Linked DNA regions of Oryzias latipes. The protein of the gene in region 4 binds, or shares a complex with, the protein of the main gene of each other region. Links are inferred from orthologs where the notes say so. Each region holds a gene or a part of one and is shown on either strand. Other genes may lie near its edges.

The links.
Region 1: smarcc2 (region 4) and probable global transcription activator SNF2L2 share a complex: the UniProt entries of both Homo sapiens proteins name them as parts of the BAF complex. The link is inferred for Oryzias latipes from reciprocal best matches to the Homo sapiens genes SMARCC2 and SMARCA2.
Region 2: smarcc2 (region 4) and SWI/SNF-related matrix-associated actin-dependent regulator of chromatin subfamily D member 2 share a complex: the UniProt entries of both Homo sapiens proteins name them as parts of the BAF complex. The link is inferred for Oryzias latipes from reciprocal best matches to the Homo sapiens genes SMARCC2 and SMARCD2.
Region 3: smarcc2 (region 4) and pbrm1 share a complex: the UniProt entries of both Homo sapiens proteins name them as parts of the SWI/SNF-B (PBAF) chromatin remodeling complex. The link is inferred for Oryzias latipes from reciprocal best matches to the Homo sapiens genes SMARCC2 and PBRM1.
Region 5: smarcc2 (region 4) and dpf1 share a complex: the UniProt entries of both Homo sapiens proteins name them as parts of the neuron-specific chromatin remodeling complex. The link is inferred for Oryzias latipes from reciprocal best matches to the Homo sapiens genes SMARCC2 and DPF1.
Region 6: smarcc2 (region 4) and smarcd3 share a complex: the UniProt entries of both Homo sapiens proteins name them as parts of the BAF complex. The link is inferred for Oryzias latipes from reciprocal best matches to the Homo sapiens genes SMARCC2 and SMARCD3.
Region 7: smarcc2 (region 4) and phf10 share a complex: the UniProt entries of both Homo sapiens proteins name them as parts of the neural progenitors-specific chromatin remodeling complex. The link is inferred for Oryzias latipes from reciprocal best matches to the Homo sapiens genes SMARCC2 and PHF10.

What each region holds. Positions count from the first base shown.
Region 1 is NC_019867.2:1,033,582-1,037,081, forward strand, and holds part of probable global transcription activator SNF2L2, read right to left. Parts: intron 3,395-3,500; coding exon 3,328-3,394; intron 3,254-3,327; coding exon 3,143-3,253; intron 1,074-3,142; coding exon 831-1,073; intron 1-830. UniProt on the Homo sapiens protein: ATPase involved in transcriptional activation and repression of select genes by chromatin remodeling (alteration of DNA-nucleosome topology).
Region 2 is NC_019877.2:6,918,582-6,922,650, reverse strand, and holds the start of SWI/SNF-related matrix-associated actin-dependent regulator of chromatin subfamily D member 2, read left to right. Parts: upstream 1-1,269; 5' UTR 1,270-1,736; coding exon 1,737-1,883; intron 1,884-3,942; coding exon 3,943-4,069. UniProt on the Homo sapiens protein: Involved in transcriptional activation and repression of select genes by chromatin remodeling (alteration of DNA-nucleosome topology).
Region 3 is NC_019863.2:2,537,331-2,540,830, forward strand, and holds part of pbrm1 (protein polybromo-1), read left to right. Parts: intron 1-540; coding exon 541-657; intron 658-726; coding exon 727-795; intron 796-875; coding exon 876-974; intron 975-1,052; coding exon 1,053-1,138; intron 1,139-1,225; coding exon 1,226-1,311; intron 1,312-1,414; coding exon 1,415-1,631; intron 1,632-1,898; coding exon 1,899-2,040; intron 2,041-3,186; coding exon 3,187-3,281; intron 3,282-3,361; coding exon 3,362-3,500. UniProt on the Homo sapiens protein: Involved in transcriptional activation and repression of select genes by chromatin remodeling (alteration of DNA-nucleosome topology). Required for the stability of the SWI/SNF chromatin remodeling complex SWI/SNF-B (PBAF).
Region 4 is NC_019863.2:4,304,330-4,308,555, reverse strand, and holds the start of smarcc2 (SWI/SNF complex subunit SMARCC2), read left to right. Parts: upstream 1-1,426; 5' UTR 1,427-1,461; coding exon 1,462-1,572; intron 1,573-2,232; coding exon 2,233-2,352; intron 2,353-2,452; coding exon 2,453-2,538; intron 2,539-2,665; coding exon 2,666-2,747; intron 2,748-3,851; coding exon 3,852-3,944; intron 3,945-4,064; coding exon 4,065-4,134; intron 4,135-4,217; coding exon 4,218-4,226. UniProt on the Homo sapiens protein: Involved in transcriptional activation and repression of select genes by chromatin remodeling (alteration of DNA-nucleosome topology).
Region 5 is NC_019871.2:18,133,786-18,137,849, forward strand, and holds the start of dpf1 (zinc finger protein neuro-d4), read left to right. Parts: upstream 1-1,264; 5' UTR 1,265-1,371; coding exon 1,372-1,478; intron 1,479-4,064. UniProt on the Homo sapiens protein: May have an important role in developing neurons by participating in regulation of cell survival, possibly as a neurospecific transcription factor. Belongs to the neuron-specific chromatin remodeling complex (nBAF complex).
Region 6 is NC_019878.2:21,175,141-21,178,640, forward strand, and holds part of smarcd3 (SWI/SNF-related matrix-associated actin-dependent regulator of chromatin subfamily D member 3), read left to right. Parts: intron 1-2,743; coding exon 2,744-2,845; intron 2,846-2,949; coding exon 2,950-3,111; intron 3,112-3,428; coding exon 3,429-3,500. UniProt on the Homo sapiens protein: Involved in transcriptional activation and repression of select genes by chromatin remodeling (alteration of DNA-nucleosome topology).
Region 7 is NC_019861.2:24,490,012-24,492,881, forward strand, and holds the end of phf10 (PHD finger protein 10), read right to left. Parts: intron 2,548-2,870; coding exon 2,439-2,547; intron 1,998-2,438; coding exon 1,809-1,997; intron 1,669-1,808; coding exon 1,571-1,668; 3' UTR 501-1,570; downstream 1-500. Other genes in the region: psmb1 (proteasome subunit beta type-1), read right to left, coding at 39-139. UniProt on the Homo sapiens protein: Involved in transcription activity regulation by chromatin remodeling. Belongs to the neural progenitors-specific chromatin remodeling complex (npBAF complex) and is required for the proliferation of neural progenitors.

The DNA.
Region 1 (3,500 bases), on a different chromosome or scaffold from region 4:
AAATCGATAAAATGTTCAAATGTTGGACCGAGTTTCCATTTTCAAATCTTTAGTCTTATGTTCTGCAGTTTATCAGGACCTGAACACAATAGAGAGAAAATAGACACACTTGATGTTTGTGTGTGCGTAACTCTGGATTTGCAGCTCATATAGTACATGTTGTGCATATTTGTGCAATTGATTATTGACACACTCAAATATCAACAATGTACAAATACGAAATACAATTTACGCGCAACTAGAAAAGAACAGCCCCTTCAAACTAACCGGGAATTCAAAAAACGGCTCCTAGGCGTACAAATCTACGCACCCATCGCATCAGACACGCCGACAAAAGCAGGGAGCCACCAGTGCTGGAGGCCTTCAGATGTGTGCCTAGATGATGTGTTCAAATGCTGCTAGAATGCTGGGTCATCAGAGTTTTCTGATCTGCTGTTTGAACTTAGATTGTGGAAAAGCCGTTTGAAAGTTTGAAGTTGGCGTCATTTCACCTTGTGTGTGTGTAAATTGTATTTCCTATTCGACTGTACATGTGAATACACAAGAGCAAGTACACACTGGTACACATCGATGGTATTGCATGTGGTACACACACAAATGTGCAGTGAGACTAGTGTGTCTCCATAGTGCATGAGGGGATAGTGATACTTGCTACTTGCGGTCATCACTGTGGTCTTTCATGCACACCCAGCAGCCAATCAGAATGGCGTATTCAGCCGGACCGTGGTGTAAGTGTTTTTAACAGACGTTTGAGAGTCACACCACCAGGAAAGGGGAGCGCTGACAGTACAAAAACTGGTCAAGGAAACGGATGAAGACGGTGTTTTCACCCTCTCTCCCGTCATGGCGAACGGAGCGTTGAACCACTGCTCGAAGGTGCTGCAGCTCTTGAAGATGGTGGGCAGCAGGAAGTTGAGCAGAGCCCACAGCTCGGGCAGCTTGTTCTGCAGCGGCGTGCCGGTGAGGAGGAGGCGGCGGGGGGCCACGTAGTGGGTGTTCAGCACCTGAGTCAGCTTACAGTGATGGTTCTTCATGCGGTGACCTTCATCCACGATCATGTACTTCCAACGGATCTGCAAAGGGAAAAAACGGTCGTTTCATCTAAAGGAAGGAATGTTTCACGTCCGTGTTTGGTTTTTGACCGTTTTGACACATTTATCCTTCAGACGTCAGTGCAGACTTTAGTTTTAGCGGTAAATGGAACCAGAAAAAACATCTTTTTGTGTTCACAGCATTACCATATAATTATAATAATAAATGGCTTAAACTATTACTGAGGATGGTTAAAGTGATTAAAGTGATAAATACTTCACTTCCCCCCAAAAAATGATTTTTTTCTAATGAAAAATAATCTGCACATCTTTTTAACTTTTGATACTTGATCTGCAAACACTATGAAGATTTCTGAAACAGTATTATGTCCATTTTTTCTGAAATAGTGTTATTTTTAATCATAGTCAGAATTTTTCTAATGAACATAAGTTGCATATATTTTAGATAACTGATCTGCATTTGCTTCTATGTTGATTTCTAAAATAGAGTTATGTCTATTTTAAGTCATTCATCTTTGTCATGTGATTTCTTGATACTTAAGGATTCTTAATGTATTCTTTGGTAAGGCATAGATGTCTGATAGACGTCATGAACCGGATAATGATAGTTAATGTAATCAAATGGTTACAGTGGAACAGGGTTGGATTCTAGAAGTTCACTTCCTTCCTCTCTCTTTAAGCAACATTTGATTGAACGTCTAATTATCCTACGTTTAATACGTCTTTGTATGAATGGACACCTGAATTTTATGCATTATTGTTGCTTTGATTGCTTGAAATAAACCACTTCAAATCAAATCAAATGTAACCCCTCCCTGTTTATGGTTAACCCTTCATTTTAAATTATGACCCCCCCCCCCCTTAAACACCTTTTATCCACTGCATTTTCTCAAGTTCTGGCTGTGGATCAAACATGTTTGTGCTGCAGCTCCAGAGCGGTTCCCCCTGCTGCTCATGTCTCTCCACATGACATCAGATTACATTAGAACTGTGTTTTCCCTCTAGCAGCACATCTCTGATGTGGATCTTTGTGAGAGCCCCCCAGCAGCCAACAGCTCCGTCCCGTCTGAGGGCCAATCCAAGCTCTTCTGAGAGAAAAGCTGCTTGTGATTTTCACGTCAAGGCCGTGTCTGACGGCCAGCACGTCGTGATCCCTGCGTGATAAACCCAACTCAAGTGTTTCTGCCGCTGTCATTCCTGGATGTGCAGATGTACATGGAGGGTTTTGAACGACGGGTCTTTATGCCAATTCGGTTTTGAGGTATCCAGAATTTTTGGAAACATAGTTTATACGACTCTGTCGATTCTTTTAAAAGTCTACTGAAGACATTTATTTAAAAATGCTTTTAGCTGACTGTTTTTTTGTTAATTCTATTCAAAGTTTATTTTCTTTCATTTAGTTTTACATTTAATTGATTGTTAATGTGTTTTTACTGTACTGTATGGTATTGTTTTATTGTTCAGCGCTTTGTGATTTTACCTGGGAAAGGCGCCATATAAATAAAACGTACTTACTAAAAAACATACTACATACAATTACTATGTAAATCTGTGTGACTTTTGCGAGATGCATGTGTTTCTTTCCACGTGTGTCTAACAGACTTTTCACGCATGAACCACCGATGTCTAACTTTTACATCGCGTATACGGCGCACACATCACGTCTAGATGACGTCATTGACGGACGTATTTTTACGCTTACGTGTTCTTTGCGTGGTGTATTTGTACATCTTCCGTGTTTTTAACCTGATTCATTCGTGACACTTCTGTGAAAATTACACTGAAACCTTTCCCCCCTTTTTTTCCACGTCTATTCACCTGTGACCAATTTACATCGGAGCAATATGCGCCAAACGTGCATGATGGCTGCGTGACATTCTTCAGATGAGTGACATCAAGGCTTCACTCATGTGAAGAATGATATGCTTCCATTTTGGGTCAGTAAACTGTAAAACCTGTTGACTGATATTTATTCAAACATCTCAAATCAAAGCGGTGGATTTAAAAGCCGCTGGACTTCCTGAAACTTTCAGAAAACTGAAACATCCCAAAGCTGTTGGTGTACAGAATATAACTTTGATCTCCTTCACCTTGGCCAGGATGTGCTTGTCCTTAATGATGTATTCATAGGTGGTCAGCAGGACGTTAAACTTCCCGCTGCGAAGCTGAGGAACGAGCCCCCGGCGCAGAGCGGGAGTTCCCTGGAATGAGGAGGGGGCTGGAGTCAGTGAAAAGCACGGCGTCAGAGCCTCGGCTGCAAAAATCTTTTTTTTACCTTGTAAGCAATTTTGACGACAGAAGGAGCCCATTTGTCGAGTTCATAGACCCAGTTTGACAAAGTCCTGGAACCAGAACCAACACAAATCATTAGACAGTGGGGAGGGGGGGGGGGGGGGTCACCCGGGATTAAAAGCAGTTTCTGAAATGTGAAAAGGAAAGTTTAAGAAT
Region 2 (4,069 bases), on a different chromosome or scaffold from region 4:
CCTTGGTTTGAGTGTCGCTGGAACCCAGCTTTACACTTCCTCGCTCTGGTGACATCACTGCGACTTGGCCTTCAGCGTTTTTGAACGCTGGACAGGATTCTCAAACCCATGAATTCCAATTATTGTAAAATCATTTATTTGCAAAAAATCCTAAATATAGAATCACTTTATGAATAAGATCTGGTAGGAAAGTGTTATGCTTTTCTATTGCTTTGTCTGTTTTGTATGGGGTGTTCAAGGGCAGCTGTTTATGAGTGGGTGGACTGAAAGACCTTTTTATTTTTTGTTTCATGCTACTGAAAAGTTTCATTAATTGACCCTCCCGAAGAACCAGCTGCCTTTTGTTCACAAAAGACAGTAATCTCTGCATACAGATACAAATAAACCTCAAATTTTCATATTAAATAAAATGCTGAAAAAGAAATCTTGTAAAATTCTACAAAAACATGTTTCCATAAGATGTTGCAAAAAAAACTTTGCAGAAAAAACTGTCATCTTAAATCCCTGAGGGCATTTAAGTTTTTTTATTTATTTAATTTTTTTGGTAAATGTATTTAATTATTTTCCAAGGACAAACTGATATTATACAGGGCTGATGTCAATTGTAAAAAAATATAAATAAAATACAGACTACAGTATTAAATTTCTAGTTTAATATGCCATACATATGAAAAAAAGTTATTTAGCTGGGGTCAGTATTGCTGACTTGCCCTAAGAAATGTGTTTAACACTCTCATTTAAAGAAATTCCAAATCCCTATACTAAAATTTAAAAATAATAATTTTATGCCATTGTAAAGGGGAAGAAAGCAATTCTGGCGAGAACTTTCATAAACCTTAGAGAAGACAAGTCCAAAGAGCAAGATGATTGGCCATGTTTTTTCTGAGTCGTATTCTCTTAATATCCTGTAGAGGGTGCTGTTGTGCGTACTTAAGGAAATTTGTTTTCATTCATCTCATAATATAATATAAATATAAATCCTGATTTATTTTGCCTTAGATGTATTTAAAAACTATTTAAAGTATTATTTTTGTTTAAACATGACAAATTATATGTAAATTATTACTTGAGATATGGTTTATTTGTCAGTCCGTGATATCTTTCCATCACTTTTGTTTTGTTTGCAGCTTCTTTTATGAGCATGTACTTTATAAGAATGTAATAAAAAATAAAACTTTCGATAAAAAGTTCATGAGAAAAAAAAACGAGGATACCGTGTGTAAGAGTTTGACTTTCAGATTTCAGACGGCAGTGAAGGCACCACTTAGTATTGCATGTAGGAGTGTACGACAGGACAAATTCGCGTTTTTTTTTTAATTTATTTTTATATTTAAGCGTTTAAAAGACACCGAGTTTTTTGCTAAATCGGGCGTTATTATTGTCTTAAGTGAGCCTCCCCGTTAAAATGCGGAGGGACAGTTAGTTGGACATGTTAAGGAACGCAGGCAGGGGCGGGGGTGACGAAGAACAGTCGCCGCTCCGTCCGTGTTGAGAAAACCAGCAGTTAGAGCCCGGAACTCGAGCTGTTAAAAGCCGAGCTAATGTTAGCTAGCTTTTTGTTGACAGCGTGCTTCCTGTCAGTGTAGCTAGACTTCTACCGACGCGGCGACGGTTATTTCCAACTCATTTATTTATTTATTTCTGGATTTTCAAGTGACACTCGCTTCCCTCGCTTATTATTGGGCCGTAAATCGTCGGGAGTTTTTCGCGGCACTTTCAACCACTTGTAGCTCCGGATGATGGCATCGAAAGGGGGGTTCACGGGTCCTCCGATGAATCCGAACTTGAACCCCATGAATGTCGGACACCCCACGGGGATGAGAATGCCCGGAATGCTGCAGCCCCCAACGGGTTATCCCCGAAGTATTCCCCAGTTTGCCCAGGTTTGTTTTTATGATTGCCTTCTTCTTTTTTCCCCTCCAACTATTTCTATTACAATACAAGAAAAAGCGGCCAATTCTTGTCAAAATGTCATGGTATGGAACTACTTCCGCCATTGAAAACGGTTATAAAAAATTCCCGTCATCAGTCAAATGGGTTTAACGTGTCATTGTGGCACCAGAGAACATTAATTGGGGGTAGAGGTTTTAAATATTCTGGCCTTTGTGAATAAATGTACTCTGTTGAAGTGTGAACGGGGTCACGTGGGTGCCCTTGGCCTCCTGTCAGTTAGAGAAAACAAAAGGAAGTTTATCATCACCACCATCTATCCAAAGACCACTTATACCATCCCTGTTCCAGCACCATCTGGGCTTCATTTGGACCCGATTGTATCCTACAAATTAGAACCATCAAAGTTCTGATGTATGTTTTTCTGTGAACGGTTCATAAAATGTCAAACTTACTCACTGTCCAGTCTTCAAAGCACATTTTCTTTTCATATAGGAAATAAGATTGTTTGACAGTAAAAGAACTTTGAATAAATATATTAAAGTCCCACTCGATCCTCGTTGGATCTGCTTTAAAAACCTTCCCAGTGGAGTTTTGATTATGATTATCCCAGTTTTTAGGAAATAGTTTCTGCACAGCAGCAGTGGTTCATTAGACACGTGTGTCCGAGTTGTGGGCGGAACAGTTGAGAGAGTGTAAACACCTGGATGATGGGAAATTGTGGCAGGCTTACTCCACTGGCAACAGCTCCGCCCACCAACAGTTCCTTACAACCCCAACATAATATTTTCGGTGTAACAAAATGGCGAGCAACGTCGGGGCCATCCAGACGTACAGATTTGAGCCAAATGCCTGATTCACAATGATTTGAATAAAGGAAACACTCAAAAACACCATTTTAAGCTTCATTTAATTCATGTATGTCCTCCAAGAACATGTTAAAAACATCAAACAAACATGATTTTCATTGGAATGGGTCTTCAAAGTCAAAATTGAGTTCTCAAGGACATTTGGCAATCACATACAAACTGATTATTTTCTTCCATAAAATAAGCCAACAAATTGTAAATAAAGTGGGGCAAAGCTGAAGATGCTCCATCTTCTGTATGAATTTAGTGGTAGGATTTGAAGCAGATGTTTCCTTTTGTGTCTCACATCCTTGTGTTGGAATCTTGGCCCGTTTCTCACTGCAGCTTTGCTTCAGCTTTTAAGAAATGTTACAGCTCTTGTTTCCTTGGAGTGTTTCATTTGGGTTGAGGTCCAGACTTTTGCCAGGCCGTGTCGCAACCTTAACCGTTTCCCTGTGGTGTGACCTGAAGTCAGCTCAGCTTTGGCTCGCCGACTCACGCTCTCGTGTGCTCTTGGTGTACTCTGATTACAAATGAGTTCATGGCCATCTCAATATCTGCAAGGTCTGCAGAAGCCGTGACTAAAAAACAAAGCAGAATCGAAAGGCCCTCATTGCTGTGCTTAATAGAGCGCAGGAAATGCATCTTTTTATTTGTTTAAACAAAATTCTATGAAGGTTCAATTGTAAAAGTATTTATCTTTACTCGTAAAGTTAAATTGTAGTTCAGATTGACATATTTAAAAAAGTTTGTTCCAATTATTGATGAAAACTCTTAGTTAGTAAACTATAATTATTGTGTTTTTAGTTATAAAAGTTAATAAGCCATAATTAGTCCAGTCTATTTTTATCCAACTAACATCAAACCATACAGTTAATTTTAAGAAAAGAGCCCCAATCTTCTCTTTTTATGTTTATTTTGAAGCTATTTAGGTGGGAAACAAAAATGTAAAAAAGTGTAAATGATTGCTTTAATTGTAATAAATTATCGATAAGAAAGATTTAGACATATTCAAAGTAACTTTTCTTTTGTTTAACAATGTTAAAATCCAAATCAGCTCTGAGTTAGACTGAAGGTTTGTGTTTCTACCAGAAATGGACAGAATGGATCAAACTCAATAGAGATCAGCCTCACGTGGGTCAAACGACACGACACGCCAACTGCTTTTCCCTTTTGTTCATCAAACTGTTCTTCTTTCATCCAGCGCCCTGGAATCCCACCCAGCAGGATGGGGGGTCCTATGGGGGTAATGGGGAGTCAGATGCCCGGTCCCTCTTACGGTGGGGGTAACCTTCCCATGCGGCCAGGCATGGACGCGTCAAGAAAGCGTT
Region 3 (3,500 bases), about 1.8 Mb from region 4:
GGAAAACAAGGGGTTAAAGGGTTTACAACATTCAACCAATTAAACCAAATTAGAAAATGGAAAAGGTAGATATTCTGGGACATGGAGCACTGATTGGATGATGACGTTTGTTTGCCTTTTCAACCTATGTTATTTGTGATGGCGGTATCCACAGGCAGAAGCTTCTGACCACAATCACTGCAAAAGTTCAATCAACCTTTTACCACAGTTCAGGTAAAACATCCTTCTGCTTTCCCTCTTCTTCAAAGCTCAAACATGATCAACCAATCAGTGACATCCCATTGTGTCTGCCTTTTCCAGTTTCTTAGTTTGTTTCCTTATTTGTTTGGATTTCTAAAATGTAGTGCTTTTTCTGATTATTTGTTTTGCTTTTGTACTGTCATTGTGTTCTTTAATATGTTTGAGTGCTGAGTGATTCATTGATCTGATTTGCACTTCGAGGCCTCTGTGTTGTAGTAGAAAATGTCTCCAGTCAAAAGGATGATGAAGCTGATGAACCAAGGCATTTCCATAAATCTGATCCCTTTCATTCTAACTCAGACGACACCTTCCTGCTTAAAGGATGTCCTAGAGCAGCTTCTTGATGCTGTCGTGTCTTATACCGAACCAACGGGACGCCTAGTCAGTGAGCTGTTCCAGAAGCTTCCCTCCAAAATGGTACATGGGACCCCGACAATTCATATGTTAGGAGTCTTTACTCTAATTTGAAGTCTCTCTTTTGTTTAGCAATATCCAGACTATTACGCCGTCATCAAAGAACCGATAGATCTGAAAACCATCGCTCAGAAGATCCAGGTACCGGTTCCAACGGAGCTGTCTGGGTGTGACGAAGTTTTTGCTGTTTTTATCCACATCAAGTAAATTTTTTGTTCTAGTTGGGTCACTACAGGAGTTGTGCTGCCATGGCAAAAGACATAGACTTGTTGGTGAAGAACGCTAAAGCGTACAATGAGCCGGGGTCACAGGTTTTTAAGGTATGTTTCTGAGAATCTTATGTGCTGCATAGTGTCCGTCCGACCTTTCACACGTGTTCCTGGTATTTTGTCTGCTAGGACGCTAACACGATTAAAAAGATTTTTGCACAGAAGAAGTCTGAGCTGGAGCACGGGGAACCTGTCAAATCCAGCATCCGCATCAGGTTTGGACCACAACGACCTCTTTAAACAACGTCGGCGGGAACTTCAGCGAATTTTGGTTTGACCTTTTCTAACGTGTTCTCTGTAAGGAATAGAAAGTCAACTCAAGGGGATCGCCTCTCCGCCATCACCATGGCACTTCAGTATGAGAGTGACGAGGAGGGAATACTATCTGGTACCTTTGCTCCTCTTTCGTAAATGGACTTAGTTTTTCTCAGACATTGATGATGCTTCTTTATTTTGTGAAATCCCGTGTTTATTGTTCCTGCATTTGTCAGGCTCTGTCCACTATGATGAGGGGGAATCTGAAGCGGAGAGCATGACATCAAACATGGACATGAGCAACCCCATCTTCCAGCTTTACGAAGCCGTGCGAGGAGCCAGGAACAGTCAGGGCCAACTGATTTCCGAGCCTTTCCTGCAGCTGCCCTCCAGGAAAGACTATCCTGACTACTACCACCAGATCAGTCAGCCCATCTGCCTGCAACAGATCAAGTATGGCGGAAATAAGTGGAATTAAAAGAATATTTTAATAAGGAACAAATTCAGTGTTGGACAAAAGTTTCTCAAGAAAAATGATGTTGTTCACCGGGAAGTTTGTTTACCTCATGTTTTTGTTGCTTTTAGTTAAAAGTTCTTTTGTTTTCTTTGCATTTCTGCCCGTGAGAAGTATTTTCCCCACACATACTCACCCACTGTAAAGTCCAGTATTTCTGTGCCCTCTCCCCCTTCCCAAATGTGAGAACCCTCAATTCCCCACAGGAGCAAGATGAAGAACAACGAGTATGCGAGCGTGGAGCACGTCGACTCAGATCTGACGTTGATGTTTGAGAACGCCAAACGCTATAATGTTCCTCACTCCTCCATCTACAAGCGTGCGCTCAAACTCCAGCACATTCAGCAGGTCTGGTTTTTCTGCTCCAATCATCTTTTGATCTTTATTCAGTCAGCCACCAACTGTGCAGGTTCTTCCACTTAAAAAGATGAGAGAAGCCTGTACTCTTCATCATGGTTTCCCTCATCTAAAATCTCATTGTCTGATTTTTTTCAAATAATTTATTTGTAAATTATGGTGGAAAATAAGTATTTGGTCAATAACAACAGTACAGCTTTGTTATATACCCTTTGTTGTCAATGACAGCAGTCAAATGTTTTCTGTGAGTCTTGTGTTGTTGGTATTTTGGTCCATTCCTCCATGCAGATCTCCTCTAGAGTAGTGGTGTTTTTGGGTTGTTGCTGGACAACACAGACTTTCTTCTCCCTCCAAAGATTTTCTATGGGGTTGAGATCTGGAGACTGGCTAGGCCACTTCAGGACCTTGAAGTGCTTCTTATGAAGCCACTCCTTCGTTACCCGGGCAACGTGTTTGGGATGGTTGTCATGATGGAAGGAGGTTTTCATTTAAAATTTGACGATACATGGCCCCATTCATTCTTTCCTCAACACAGATCAGTCATCCTGGTCCCTTTGCTGAAAACAGACCCAAAGCATGATGGGTGAGATCTTGCGAGGAGTCTCAGATCGAGATTATCAGTGGTCTTGTATGTCTTCCATTTCTTCACACCAAGCTGCTTACCTGTTGCAGATTCAGTCTTTCCAGCCTGGTGTAGGTCAACATTTTGGTTTCTGGTGTCCTTAGACAGCTCTTTGGTCTTAATCATAGTGGAGTTTGGTGTGTGACTGTCTGAGGTTGTGGACAGGTGTCTTTTCTATAGATAACCAGTTCAAACAGGAGCTTTTAAAACAGGTAACGAGTGGAGGAAAGAGGATCCTCTTACAGAAGAAGTTACAGGTCTGAGAGCCAGAAGTTTTGCTTGTTTGTAGCTGACCAAATTCTTACTTTTCACCATAATTTGCAAATAAATTATTTAAAAGTCAGACAATGTTATTTTGTGTCCTCCATCATGAGCAAAATGCTAAAAGACGATATTAAAAACACCAAAACATCATTTTCATTAGAGTGGGGCTTTAAGAACACTATTTTTTAACTTCCATCAGTTTCTTTGTATTTTTCATGAAGTATAATGGCTGAATCCTGTTATTCGTGTAGCTGAAGAGGAAGGAACTTTTACAGAGAGAGGATGATGATGGTGACAGCATGCTCTCCTCAGCCACGTCTGACACCAGTACTACGAAAAGAAAAAGGTTAATTGCACCCATTTCATTCTCTGAACATTCATTGTGGAAGAGAACTTGGTGTTAATTCTGCTTTGTGTGTTTTCTAGTCATAAGAAGAATACCAAAAAGAATCGCATGAAGGCTCTGGTAGCTGCTGTGACTGAGGCGCGAGAGGCCGGCGTTGGTCGTAGACTGTGTGACCTCTTCATGGTGAAGCCCTCAAAGAAGGACTACCCCGACTATTAC
Region 4 (4,226 bases):
TTGTTAAAACATCAATCATGTTAACATCACTCAATACTTTTCTTATAAGGTTTAGCTGAGCTGTAAGTATTGTCTGTCGTTTCAAAGAAAAACAATCTTTGGAACTTAAGCATTTTTGGAGGTACTGTTTTTTAAGGAAACACTGCCACAGGACACTTACTGCTTTCATATAACCGATCATTTAAGTCCTGATTTATTTTTCTGTTAGTACAGAGCAAAACATTTCACAGACACATCTGTTAGATGTCTTAATTGTGGCTATTTCAATGGATATGCATCATATTGACATCAATGCCTAGAGGCCTATCAGACCTTTTAGCAGACGACTTTCACACAGCTAATCATGTCACGGTCCCAAAATATAAACCAGCTGCCATTTTTCTTGATAAATAGGGTAATTATATAACATATAAAATAATACAAAAGGTGCATTAATGGTGGTTTTGTGTTCTTTAGAGGACGTCTTTCAAACTGTCAAGAATGCACCAGAGGACAGTATTCGTAAAGATGCATACAACAAGATTTTCAGTAAAAAAAGAACAATCTGAATGTGTCTAAAAATGGGATTACTTTGGTGAAAGTGACTGTTCAGACTATACTTGTTCAAGCATATATACTGTGGTTAGCAGAGGTTACATGGGTAGAAGCTCAGCCTGGTTTCTAGTTTGATTCCAAAGGACGTGCAAGCATTCAAAGCTACTGGTCAGTCATCACACATTGAGCTGGGGCCCTATGATTTCACAGGCGTTTGACACTGGTGACCCAATTTCAAAAGGTAACCCCTGCACCCACAACCCATCTATGACGTATCAGCCAGGCTTCCCATCTGATCCAGATGCTTTCTGGACAAGAGAGGCCCTTCATCAGTCCCAGGACGACCAAAGGTGGTTTAACATGTCACAGCTTGAAGGTTTCTTCATCTTCATCTCTGCCATTAGTCACCTTCCTCGCTGCATTCTGCACAGTGTCCTGGAAGATGTCAAATGACCAATTTTCCGACCTCGCTTGAGATATAAAGATGTTTTTAAAAGAGATATGAAGGACTTCCAGATAGATCCTGCTACTTGGACTGCTACTGAAGCGACAGAGGGAGATGGGACACCACCTTAAAGAGAGGTATCAAAGTTGTTGTATCAGACAGATTCTAGAAATTCTACTATGGAAAAACGTTTAATTTATTTTGGAAAACCCTGAGTCTGGGGGATCTGCTTCATAGGTTGGGAAGACTTAGTCTAAAGTAGGTATGGATGACCAACGCAAAGGAGAAATGCTTTTATAAACAATACACTGTTTTTGTTTTTTAACAATGGAAATGTACAAGGAAGGAAGCCAACATTCTCTACACCATTCCGCCACCTGCTGGATGCGGGCATTCATTACAGGACACTTGTTCAAGCAGCTGCAGGGACTAACTGCGTCCACTAGGAGGCGCGCAACACCGACAGTTGTCTGCAGGCAAAGATGGCGGTGCGGAAGAAAGACGGCGGCCCGAATGTTAAATATTTCGAAGCATCTGACACCGTTTCTCAGTTTGATAATGTCCGCGTCTGGTTGGGAAAGAATTACAAAAAGGTACTGTGGGCTTGTTTTTGTGCGCATGCTCACAGAGTTCTCCTTTTCACCCTCAAATGTGGGCACTTACCCAGTGGGCAGAGGCAGTGACAAAGAGAGGAGGGAGGGTGCTGCTGCTGCTGCTGCTGCCGCTCAGCGTCCAGCTGTTTGGGATACAAAAGGATGCTGAGCAAACAGCTGCAGCACAAGCGCGCGCTTCAGGCGTTCTGCGGATACACGTGACTGCAGATAAACTGCCACAAAGGCAGCGCGCGACTCTTACTCGGTGGACGGATTTGTTTTCTATAAAGAAAATACATGACTTTAGCCTGCTAGCTGGCTAGTTAGCTGCTCGGCTAACGGTGAAGCAGCGCAGATCCAGATGTTGGCTCAGAGGCACGTCTGTCTTGAATAACAGCTGGCGGGCCTCAACTAGGAGCTCTGACTTGACGAAGACCTCTCAAGTACTAATCATGAAGTAGACTGTTATTATTATTATTATTTTTACAAATATTTGAATGATTGATGTTTTTAATTAGAGCTCTTTTTCATGGGTGAAAATAAAAGCACTGACATTTCCAGAGTTTACGTGAATGCGGCATATCAGCCATAGAACTATGTCTACCAGAAATGCTGTGTTTTAGTGTTTGGTGTATTCCTAACTTTGCGTTTTGTGTCCAGTACATCCAGGCTGAGCCTCCCACCAACAAGTCTCTGTCCAGCCTGGTGGTCCAGCTGCTGCAGTTCCAAGAGGAGGTGTTTGGCAGACATGTCAGCAACCCCCCACTCACCAAGCTGCCGGTATTTGCTTCTCAATACTCATCATCTTCCTCAATGTAATGATGCTTCACTTTTTGTCCTCTGTAACCTATTATTTGAAGCATTTTCCCTCTTTCTGCAGATGAAATGTTTTCTGGACTTTAAGTCTGGGGGGGCTCTGTGTCACATCCTGGCTGCAGCCTACAAGTTCAAAAGTGATCAAGGATGGTAGGGGCTTCTTTCTAGCGGATGTTTTGAGGATTAGACCTGTTAATCCAGTGAAGAATCAAAGGTCTCAACTGGATTTTGGCCGGGTTTGAGTTTCGTGTGTAACTCCAGTCTAATTTCCTGGTAGGCGCAGGTTTGACTTCCAGAATCCATCGAGGATGGACCGAAACGTTGAGATGTTTATGACGATTGAAAAATCTCTGGTGCAGGTGAGTTTGTTTCAGCAATCGTTCTTCATGAATAGTTACCTTCTACACAACTTGCAAAAGTGTTTATTTTCTAATATCTTCAAATCTCTAAATTATTATTATTATTATTAAAAACTGTCAATTATTTACCTTTTACAATTAGGTTTAATTTAGAATTAAGGATTTGATTCAGTTTGAATGAAACTATTTATGTGTATTTATATTCAGAAAAACGATCCACGTTTATTGTTTTTTATGCAAGTCTGAATTAATGATAAAAAAAACATTGAGAGATTTCATGTTTTTGTTTGGTGGCTTCAGAATTTTTGAATATTTGCAGAACCAGTTTGTTTATTCTTTAAAGTTCCACTCCAATGAAAATTGTGTTGTAGTTGTTTTTTTACATGTTCTTGTGGCATTTTTCTGATGATGGAGCACATAGATAAAGAAAATTGAGATTAAAATTGAATATTTCTTTACTCCAATATTTGTAAAATACAAAAAAAAAAAAAGCAGTTCGAAAAAGATCTTGTTTGTGACGTAGAAAATATGCTGGCTGGGTCAAAATCTTCCTGCTTTGCTCCATTCTGATGCATCCACCTGCAGACAAATAGACCCATGAACGTCTTTGTTCTCCTCGCCTGAGCTGGAATCTGGATCAAAACTGGATGGCTGGATAGCTCTGATGTTGCTCACCATTTTTGTTGCACTGATAATGTTAGGTTTGGCTATAAGGGGCTGAAAGCTAGCAGGAGAGAGTGTAAACAAAGGGATGATGGGAAGTAGAGGCAGGCTTACTCCCTACAACTCAGATGTAAATTTTTAATGAACTCCTGCCGCTCTGCTGAAACTATGTCCTAAAAAAATGACACTTGTTTTTAGATTTTGGCCAAAAGGTGCATCATCATAATTAGAAGACCGCTGGGAACGCTTTGAAAATACATCAGAAGATGATCGGAGCAGGATTTTAATGACAAAATCTTTGTGATGTGACTTTCGTTGTCCAACCCAAGGACTTCAGGGCTCGTGCAGTGTCTTTATTTGCAGAAGCAGAGATGTTATGCTGAGAGGAAAACAGCATTTACATTGTAATGGTCATGTGTTTTTTAAATGTACTCCTTCCAGAACCACTGTCTGTCACGACCAGTCATCTACCTGAGCTCTGACATCGATCCAAAGCTGCTGGGGAAACTGAAAGACATCATCAAAAGGCATCAGGTGTGTTTGTCATGTGAATGTTATGCCATACACCTCAAGTAGGTGTTGCTTCATTTTTAGGGCTCCTATGGGTTTAAACCTGTGAATACATATGATTTACACTCTTTTCCTGATTTGCAGGGCTCAGTGGCGGAGGACAAATCAAACAGCTCCCATATTGTGGTTCCCATCCCTGCCAGTCTAGAAGAAGGTGAGGACTTGGAACTGGACTGCTGGATGGATGTTTCTTCTTCAACATGCTATTCTAACTCCAACCCCTTTTTTATCTTTCAGAGGAATGGG
Region 5 (4,064 bases), on a different chromosome or scaffold from region 4:
TTCTCCGTTAGCTTAGCGGCTAACTGTTGACGGCTAACTTTACCTGCAGGTTTTCCTGTTCGTCCACCAACAGGAAACTCCGCGCGCCGCCGGGACCCTCTTCCGGCTTCATGGAAACTCTCTCAATTTCCTTCATCAGGACCTCAGACATCGCTGCTCAGGTGTTTATGTCATAATCGGGACGCGGGAGAAGAAACGAAACTTCAACATGACTTGTAATCACAACAACAGAGCGTGCGTACGGAGGGCGGGGCGAAGGAGGACGTAAACTTCGACGTCACCCCCACATTCTGTGCGATAGAGTGCTTTAGCACCACCCTGTGGTCAAAGTGTAAAAGGCAGCTTTGCCATTCATGAAATCAGCGATCACGGCATGATTTCCTCACTCAAAAAAAAAAAAAAAAAAATCTGTGAATTATTTCATGTTTCCAATACGTTTATTTTTATAAAATAAAGTTTAATTTAGGACAGTATTGATGTATTTGTTATTGTCCTTCAAAACATTCCCTTTGTTTGAAAATCTTCCTCACAAATAACACAAAAACTGTCGCAGGGCGTTTGGTTTGAGCAGTGGGGCCTTTTCGAGCTGCTTGCTAATGTTCATTAAATATTTGTTAGCACAGATCTATAAATATCACATGTCACTGGATTCAGAGTGGTGGCTCCACTACTGTGGCTCCACTGCCAAACTGTAAAGACAAATCCAGGCCTCCTTGCTCCTACCCCTCGTCCTCCTGCCTCCCTCCGTCCATCCCTGCAGCAGACGACAGGAACAGCACGAATTGGAGGGGTTCCCACTTCTCAGGCGAGGAGGCAACGACAGACAAATGTCTGAAAGAATCAATTACATGCCCACTCTCAATCTATTAATGAATAATTAAAGGTGCTCGGAGCTTTGAGACACGGCTCTGTGCATCCAACCACATCTGAAAGTTATCATGCACACTTGTTTTATGATTTTCCAGTGTTTCAGGCTGTGATGTCTACCCCCTCCTGTGCACAAGGCAAAAAATGATCCAAATGCAGTTTTGTTTGAATCCTTTAAGACTATTTTTTGTTCGAGATTCCTGTGTGGGATCAGTAGTCCCGACCTCTGTCCTCACATGTGAGGCTGATCTCCATCCCGAAGCTCCACCAGGCTCAACTGGACTTTTTTTCTATACATTAGGACAGGGACGGCTCTGCTTACCTTTCAAGTACGAGGCGGGTCGCTGAACCACTGGAACCCCCTACCCCCGCCGGTATTTGTAGTCATCATCTGTTGTCCGTCCTCCGCGCCGCCGTGCGCCAAAACTACAGTTCCCACAAGCAGCCACGGTGCGCTCCCGCCTCCCATTGGCTGTGCGCTGAAGCCGCAGCCCCAGAGAATGAATGAAATTGAAATGCTACATTACATGTAGAAAACCACCGGCTCTGCGGTGTTGCATTCTATCACACTATATCAAAATGGCCACAGCGGTGCAGAACCCCCTCAAATCGTGAGTACCGTTCATTCTCCGCTCCTAACATCCGAGCATGCTGTCAGCGTCATCTCCTTATGTTCTAATTCTGATCCTGCTCCACCACACGCTTGATGTAAACGGCGGAGACCGAGATTATGATGCCAATGAAAAGTTAGCCTATTTTGCGGGATTTCGTGTCGGTGTCCTTTTTTTTGTCACTGAGTATGCGCTGCGGTTCCTCACATCCCGTACCCGAGCCAGCAGCAGCGCGCGCGCGTATGGAGGAATGCTGGGGGAGCTCTGGGTGACCCGGCATGTCCCTTGCCGGTGTATGAACCCAAAAGATCGGTCAGATCCAGGCTGGGGGCTGAGTCGAGCTAACATGGCCCTCCAGAACCTGTTAGCGCGCGTCTTTAGAGGCAGGACGGAGCTCGGAGCGGCTTTCCGGCTGCAGCCGAACTACTGGACCTGTGGGAGATGGAGAGGCGGAGGTAAATACACTGCGTCTCCCACGCTGACTCCATCTGAATGGGATGCCGGCGCTTTGTACCCTAGAGTGAGATGATTATCAGCCGGTGGCGTGTTTAAAGCGGCCCCTTCTCCCTAAAGTTTGTCCGTTAACGGTCCGTTTTGCACATGTTTTTATTCGGAAGGAGGGGGGGGGGGGGTGTCTTTTTCTGGAGGAATGCAGCGGCGCGCGCTGATGCTCCCGGCCAAAGACAGAGGTAGCCACCGCGCGGCTGTCAGCGGGTGCTGGCACTAATCTCCCCCGCATAACGCATAAAGGCGCAGGCACCAACCCGCCGGCACCACAGCGCTCCAACTGTAGCAGTTTGAAACAAAGAAAAGTCTGGAGACCTGCGCGCCTCGGCTGCTTCACCTGAGCGCACAGACCGCGCCGGGGCGCGCACACGCCGGCGACATTTCACGCAAACCCAGATCAACGAACAGTTTGGAGCGTGGACGGAACTGCCAATTAAGAAACTGCTCTGAATGGCTGTGATGGTATTTCACCATTTGTTGTTCAAATCATGAGTGAATCGTCAGGTGGGTCATTTCCATCCACACAGTCGCTGTTATTTGACTGTTAAATGTTTATTTTGAGGCGGGCAGGTGACGTTGGGATGGAGAATCTTCAGGATGTGGCTCTCCTCTGTTTTCTCTTCTCCACTTTCAACTCTTCCTCCATTGCATGCCCAAGCTAAGCAACCGTGTGGCCAGGTTGCGCCCAGAGACTTTCAGTGAAACCATGTCGGGATTCATTTGACTGATTTGCAAGGAGTCTGCAGCAGAACTGGGAGGCAACAGGAGAAAAATGAGAGGAAAAAAGTCAGAAGGCAGCTGGGCCAGAGGATAATGAACTACATCCTAGTGTTGAAAACACAGACTGTCCAAATGAGGGATGACAAAGTGTCTGTTTGGACCTTCAGTGCAGAACCCTTAAAAAGCTGAAAGTCTGCATCAGGTTTAGAGGTCTTTCCTCTAGATGACTTTATCATGGTCTGGTTGAAGCACCAAATGAGCTCTGATATACACTCTTGAAATTAGCATGTTTGCAAACAAACTTGTTATGGAGACTTGTAAATTAGAGCCCCCATTCTGTGAATCGAGCCAAAGAACCAAAGACTTGGTTCAAAGTCAGCCCTAACAGGGGGGGCTGGCTGCGTGCCGGAGGCAGAAACAAAGCCTGTTGTGTCCCAAAATGTCTTTAAAGCTAGCTGAGTCTCAGCAGTAAATTGCAATTAATTCCGTGTTTGTTAATTCCCATTGATGCCCAGGATCCAGCCAAGCTGTGCAGCCCGCTCATGCTCGGCTGGACGTGTGTGGACGTACAGTGGAGGGTTTCATGTGTGTGCAAAAGCATATCAGCAAACCAGCTTCATCCAGTCGGCCTCTCTCTGCTGGATTAGAGAATCATTTAATCTCTCTTACTCTCTATCCTTTTTTCCTGTGATTTCCTCTCTGTCCTCCCATCACCCCCTCTGCCCAGTCTTCCTCCTCGTCTCCCTCCTTCTTTGCCACTTTCTCAATCCATCACTTGTTTCAGTCCATCCCTTTGTTTAACCATTTCCTCTTTGCCTTGCTTTCCCTTCTCCTCTGCCCATTTTCCACAGGACTTCTGCATTTTGAATCAATGGCAGCACCGTGTTTTCAAATGCAGTGCGAGCAGCAGTGAGGGGAGCTTTCTTTGCATTTGATCACATTTCCCTTCAATATTTATATATAAATATTATATATAATATAGAATTTTAGGATTGCTCAAGAGGAATTTATTTTCAGTTAAATGCAAGCCACTGAAATGGATTTGTGGAGTTGCAAATACTTATTTAGCTTAAAAGACAATGTGAACCTCCCATACTTTTGAGCGTTTGTCCTGAAATGTCGGTGTTAAAAGTGGTGAATGTGTCCTTTGGAGTCACACAGGAGACTGTTTGAGTCAAAGCTGCAGTGGATGAGGCATCTCCTTCAGCAGAGAGCTGGTTAAAGGGGGAGATGCAGATCAGTGTGTGCTGTGGTGTTGGAGGCAGTTGTGGCAGGTCCTGTCTAATGATATTTCTGCCCTGCCTGACTGAGCCCAGCTAAATGAGTTCCATGTAATAACTGGCTCTGTGTGCAAACAGC
Region 6 (3,500 bases), on a different chromosome or scaffold from region 4:
TTATTTTATTTCAATCCCATAAGCGGGTTTATTCAGATTTAGTCAGGCGTTGCTTAATCCTCTTGCCTCTAAGCATTAAAACTCAATGTGCTTTTCTTTGTTTTGCTTTCAGGGCAATAAAATTTACCAGGAAACGTAAACTTACATCGTCTTTTTGCAAACCTATTTGTAATCTACGGTAATATTTTAATTTTTTTGCTGCATGTTCCCCATTTAAGGTCACAGGGTTGCTGGAGCCTGTCCTTGCTACAGTTGGACAGAGGCGGGGTACGCCCTGAACAGGTCGACAGTCTTTTATTTTGAAAATTTGAACGGATTTGGTCTTCCTGCCTGAAAGACATCAAACAGTGGTGATGCACCCTTTCTAAGCTTTCAGCTTTTGTCTTATTTAAAGACATTTTAAACTTTTACATTTTTACATGTTTTGATTTTATTCTTTTATTTATTGGCCGCTTTTAATTGCTGCTACTCAAAATGAGCGAACCAAAAAATAAAGCTCTAAAGAGTCATACGAACATTGTTCTTTGGTTCTCCAGGGGGGGAAAAAACATTTTTATTATCAATCACAGTGGATTAAAATAAATAAACAACACTTAAAAACAAATACCTGAAAGAGTTTTATAAATTATTCTTAAACTTTCAGACAGATCAGATGTTGGAACAGATTTGATCTTTAAATCAAATTTGTGGCAAAATAAATAAAATGATAAGAATCAAAAGCTTTTCTGTGCGGCGTCTTCGAGCGAGCTGGACTTCCCCGCAGCGCCGTCACGTTCCACGACCTTTTCCTTTCTGGAAACATTATTTTTATCAAGTTTCGTCCAAACCTCCCCAGTTACCGCCGTGGAGGCCGGACCGACCCCTCCCCCTGATGAAGGCAGACCTTTTTTTCCATTAACACCGGAGCGAACGGCTGCATACAAGGCTGTTTAAGCGTGAGTCTTTTAGAAACAACCAGCGGCTGCCCTTCACTCCGCATCACCGCAGAAATCTGCTTTTTGTTTAAAAAAAATCCACTGGAGGAGTTTCAGAGCGAACGTGACGGCTTCTCAAGGTTCCTCTTTTCAGCCGGCCGCTCGGGTGCTGCTCTCTCAATGACTCAGTCCAAAGAATGTTGTTTCCACCTTGAGATACAAATAATCAGCAGGCCCCCCCCTATAGGCTGAAGAGCCGGGTCCCCCCCTCCCCTCCTCTGAATAGACTCATCTTCAGAGCTTTATTAAAATGTTCTTTTTCATCATTTTCTCCCCTCTTTGTCAGATAAACAAAGATTTGGCCGACGATCCCGCATGCATACATACAAAAAATATCTAATATTTAAATAATATATATTTAAATATATTCCCTACATAAATCAAGGTTTTTGTCTTTGTTATAAACTTTTAACCTTACCCAAAATGGGATAATTCCAAGTTTCTCTGATGGAAATATTAGGATATCTTTGAAATTTAATCTTCAAATTCAATTAAAATAAGTAAAAAATCCTTTATTGAGGATAAATGTTGCAATAATTCTTTTATTCTTGTCAAATAATTAAAGAATTTTAATTTGGATTGATGGTAAACGCTTGGCACATGATATTCTTAATTGGATTTTCAATTAGTTTCATTTTATAGTTTGTGGGTGTGCGCCAAAGCCTCCCAGCCAGCTCTCGTTTGAAAAACAGGGACTTCCTGGTTAAATAAATATTCAGCCAAAAGGAACTCGTCTGATGTTGCTTGAATTTGTCCTACAGAAGTTCTTTCTTCCTCTTAATCCTCCCGTTTCTGGCTCAGGCTTAACCACGTCTGTTAATCTACATTTTGTGTGTATTTCTGTGAAAAACACCCTAAATGTAAAGCAATATTGCTCTTTTTGGTGCTTAAATTTTCCAACGTCATGGTTTTTTTGTTGTTGTTTTTGTTATTCTGCTCTTAAAAATGTATAAAAATATTTCATTTTAAATTGCTTTCTGATCTGATCATCGTTTACTCTCCTAAACTTCCAAGTCAGTCCTTTTACATTATGATAAATCTAAAATATTTATGTTTAACATCTGACATTCTGTTAGGATTTTCTGCTCGATTCGTCTCAGTTTGTAATTTTTCTTCTTCCGCATTGCGAGAGCTGTTGGATCATTTAAATCCGTTAAAAATGAATGAATTTCTCCTAATTGGTGGAAAAAAGATTTATCATGGCCGGGATATCAGCTCTATTTTATTCCGACTTTTTCCTTTTTGTTTATTTACTATATTTGAGATTCTTTAATAGGAATGACTGTATATTAATACATTTATGTACGCTTTTGGTTGGTGGGATACCTTAGGAAAAAGTGAACTTTGGTTGAAAAACATTGATCTAAATAGTTAATAAGAGGTGATCTGCCTATATTTTCTAACTTCTTTCTAATCTCCAACATTTAAGTCTTCATTTTTTTTAGTGAAAATGGTATTTTACTCCACAACTCAGAGATGAACTTCTAATGAACTCCTCCTGCCGCTCTGCAGAAACTATGACCTTGAAAACCACACGTTTGTTGATTTTGCTAATAATGGTAATCAAAAGACCTTTGGGGGTGGTTTGAGAATAGATCCAAAAAGGATTCAAGTGGAACTTTGAAGAAACGTAACAGAGTTTATCCTGTTCGTAATGAATCCATTAGTTGTAATCACTTTAATGCAAATGTCTGCTGGCAACCTTCATGACAAAAACCGCCAAACGCTCCACTCCAGCTCACCTGCTGGTCGCCTACCTGCCGTTTCAGTGGCACCGCACGCCCACCACCCAGGAGACGGACGGCTTCCAGGTGAAGCGGCCGGGCGACGTGAGCGTGCGCTGCACGCTGCTGCTGATGCTGGACTACCAGGTGAGGGGCCGCAGACTCCACGCCGCCTGCATGTCTGAGGGCGCCGCGCCGAAGGCTTGAACGTGCGTGAAAAGCCGAGTAACGTGATGACCTGGCCTCCACAGCCCCCCCAGTTTAAGCTGGACCCTCGCCTGGCTCGCCTGCTGGGCATTCACACGCAGACCCGCTCCTGCATCATCCAGGCGCTCTGGCAGTACGTGAAGACCAACAAGCTGCAGGACTCCCACGATAAGGAGTACATCAACTGTGACAAGTACTTCCAGCAGGTGCGTGACGTCATAATGCAACAAGATCCCACCAGTTTGACCCTTTTTTAATTGTTTTTCATGAATTTAACTGATATTCCTCAAGACAAATATGCAAAAAGCTGAACGTTTTTTGGCTCTGCTATCATCCGTTATGGATAAATGATTTAGAGGATCTGCAGAAATGGCTGTTTGGTGGTTTTCCTGCAGTAAAAAAACATTCATGATTATTAATGAGCACAGAAACGCACTAAAGCGGATGGAGACCACCAGGAGGAAGAACTCGGTCTGGATGGATGAAAACAGGGCTAAGAGTCCTTTTTTTTTTAACTTCTCAGAAATCTGGGATGCTGCATCCTCTACAGAGAAGAGACCACCCAGCCGGTTATCAGCCTGTGATTCAAACTCTT
Region 7 (2,870 bases), on a different chromosome or scaffold from region 4:
CTACCACCGCAATGCAAGATGATCAAAATAAAACTAACCCTCCATTGAAGGCGTATGGTGAAAACCGATGTTCCGTGGGTCCCGCATAATGGTATTCTTTCATCTTTCCAGATTCTCCAAAATTCTGAGCTGAAAGCATTTTTAAACCAAGATAGCCAACAGATTGGAGATTTCAGCCGGGCAAACTCGCTGTATCACTGCAATATGGCAGACTCTTCTTCGCCGGTAAATGAGTGACCACATATGGTGTGCGCGACAGCGCCTCTACAGGCGCATAGATGTAACATCAGAACAGGCTCTATATTTAAAATGTTGCCTGCACAAGTCGTTTGATTATTTATTTTTCAAAATACAATAAATGGACTAATTTTATATAACAATATACAAGTACATATATGTAACAAACTGTATTGTACACTGCATCTTATTTATTAACACACAAACATTTCTGAAAAGTTTGTTTTTGATTAAAAGAAAGTCAGATAAATCTGATACAGATAATTTATTTATATTTTAATTTTGTCAGCTGAGACTTGAAAACAGAAACCAAGCAAAACAGTTGGTCCAAAGAACAATCACATTTTTTATATAGAACACTTATGTCACTATATGATTTGCTATAGGAATCCAGAAGTGTAATAGATATTAATTACATGGCCATTGCTTTTACAAAATCATAAAATCACAAACAACTATATTTCCTCACTAAATTGTCAAAATTGTGATTTTATCTAATACACAAGACACAAAAAGCCTTTTAAAGGAAACTTTTATTCTAAAAAAAAAGAAGAAAAAAAGAAAAACAAACCAAAAACACTGCAGTGAATAAACATTAGTTGAAATTCTCATTTTGTAACTCATTAATTCCAGGATGATGCAAAAGAAATAAATTAAAAAAGAAATATAAAAAATACCTACAGATTCAGTCTTAGAGTACTTTTTTTAAGTTCGATTTTTTTGTAAAACTACGAAAAACAAAAACCACAGAAAATTCACTTCGAAAACCAAGAAACTTAAGCAGACAGACAGAACACATAGTTTTTCCTTGTTCACTTAAAATAGGCGTACAGGATCAGAGAACCCATTTATTTAATGCAAATTTCACAGAATTTGAACAAAAATGATCATACATTACGAAACCCACAAGCGTACAAAAAGTTGTTCGACCAAAGCCCTGTTTTAAACTAACTATCAGTAGTACGTAATGAAGAGCACCATTTGCTGACCTGAAATAAAGTTCCCAAAGAAATGCTTGGAACCCCACAGGGTAACTTATTGGTTTTCTGCAGTAAAATTGACTCAAAGGTGTATGGTATAGTAAAAAAACAACACTGTTTGTACGTCGACATCACAGAGAAACAAGCAAGTAAGTATTTGGCTTTTTTTTTTTTAAAGAAAATTTGTTGATTTTAAATCATAATTCCTGCTTTAGTCATATAAAAGAATGAAAGTGTGGACACAAGATCTAGAATTTGTAATTATTTTACATTGTTATGTTTTCTTTTGTCAAACTGAATGCTTAATTGTAATCTTACTTCAACAACAGTCTTGGAATAAATAAATGACTAAATCATAACTTTTTGGCTGACTTGGACTTTTTAGGTGTTTTGCCCCCTCCTTTCTTCTTGGGTGTAAAACCCTGGTCGCAAACTTCACACACCCAAAGACCTGGAAAAACAAAAAAAAGTATTAAACAATAAAAGAAAACAAAGAGATAATAAAAAATAAATGCGTTTCCCCTCTCCCTTTTAGTGTGCCGATGCTTGAACATCGTTGGTTCGAACCCATCACTCTCCTCAGCAGCTCACCTGTAGGTATGGAGTTCATGCCAACGCAAAAAGTGTGGTATCCTCTGTCGCACTTGTCACAGAACATCATCTCGTCCTCGTGGTGGGGCTGCTGGCACACGGTGCACGTTTTGCATTCCATGCACTGCCAACGATACGTCTGGATCACGGACACCAGCTCAGAGCTCATGTCCAAGCAGGACGGGTGACCTACAGTTTATGGATGCGAGTGAAAGTGTGCAGGAGCCAGGAGGCCGCAGACACACACGGTCAAATAAATGAGCACTGTGTGCTCAGACACAAGCAGGCGAGCAACAGGGACAGACTGATAGATATGCAAATGTGGTCAAAGCTGTACACAGGGCTCCCTTAGTCACATTTTATGATTATTATTATTCGGATAACATTTAAATTCCCAGCTAACAATCCTCAAAAGTTTAATAATTAAAGAAAATAATGTATACAACTTTAAAAAAAGTAGAGATAAGAAACTGCTTATTTGAGAAAAAGGTACAAAATCAGCACAAATATGATTTTGCCGCTGTAGATTCTATGAAATTGGAAATGACAGCGTTTAACTTATAAACAAAACATACATTAAAACGATCCAAAGGAGGAGAAGTCCTTTAAAAATGTAGGATGTAAACTTACCGCTGTTATCACATTGGGAGCAGTGAATGAGAGCTTCAGGCCTGCCTTTCTTGTTGGACTCTTTACCCTTCTGGCAAATGCCACATATAGCATTGGGAATGACTTTAGGCTGCAAGGGCAGAATAATGCTATAATAAACATTACACAGGGGCATCCTAGAGTCATGGAAAGAGGGTTAAATACAGTAAAGGGTACGAGAAGCAACAGCGCTTCATCTGGACCAACAAGCCCCCTTTTTCTGCAGTTTAGAAGGAATACTGGGCATTAAGCAGAGGAAGTCTGAGTCAAAGAAAAACAAATTGCAGTGTTGCAGAATACTAGAGACATGAATCCCACAGTGCACAAGAGTTCTATGTTTTACTAAATCAAATAGTGACCAACATACTTTACTCCAGATCTCAGTATAAGTTCTGTCAAGGAAAGTAGGTGGAC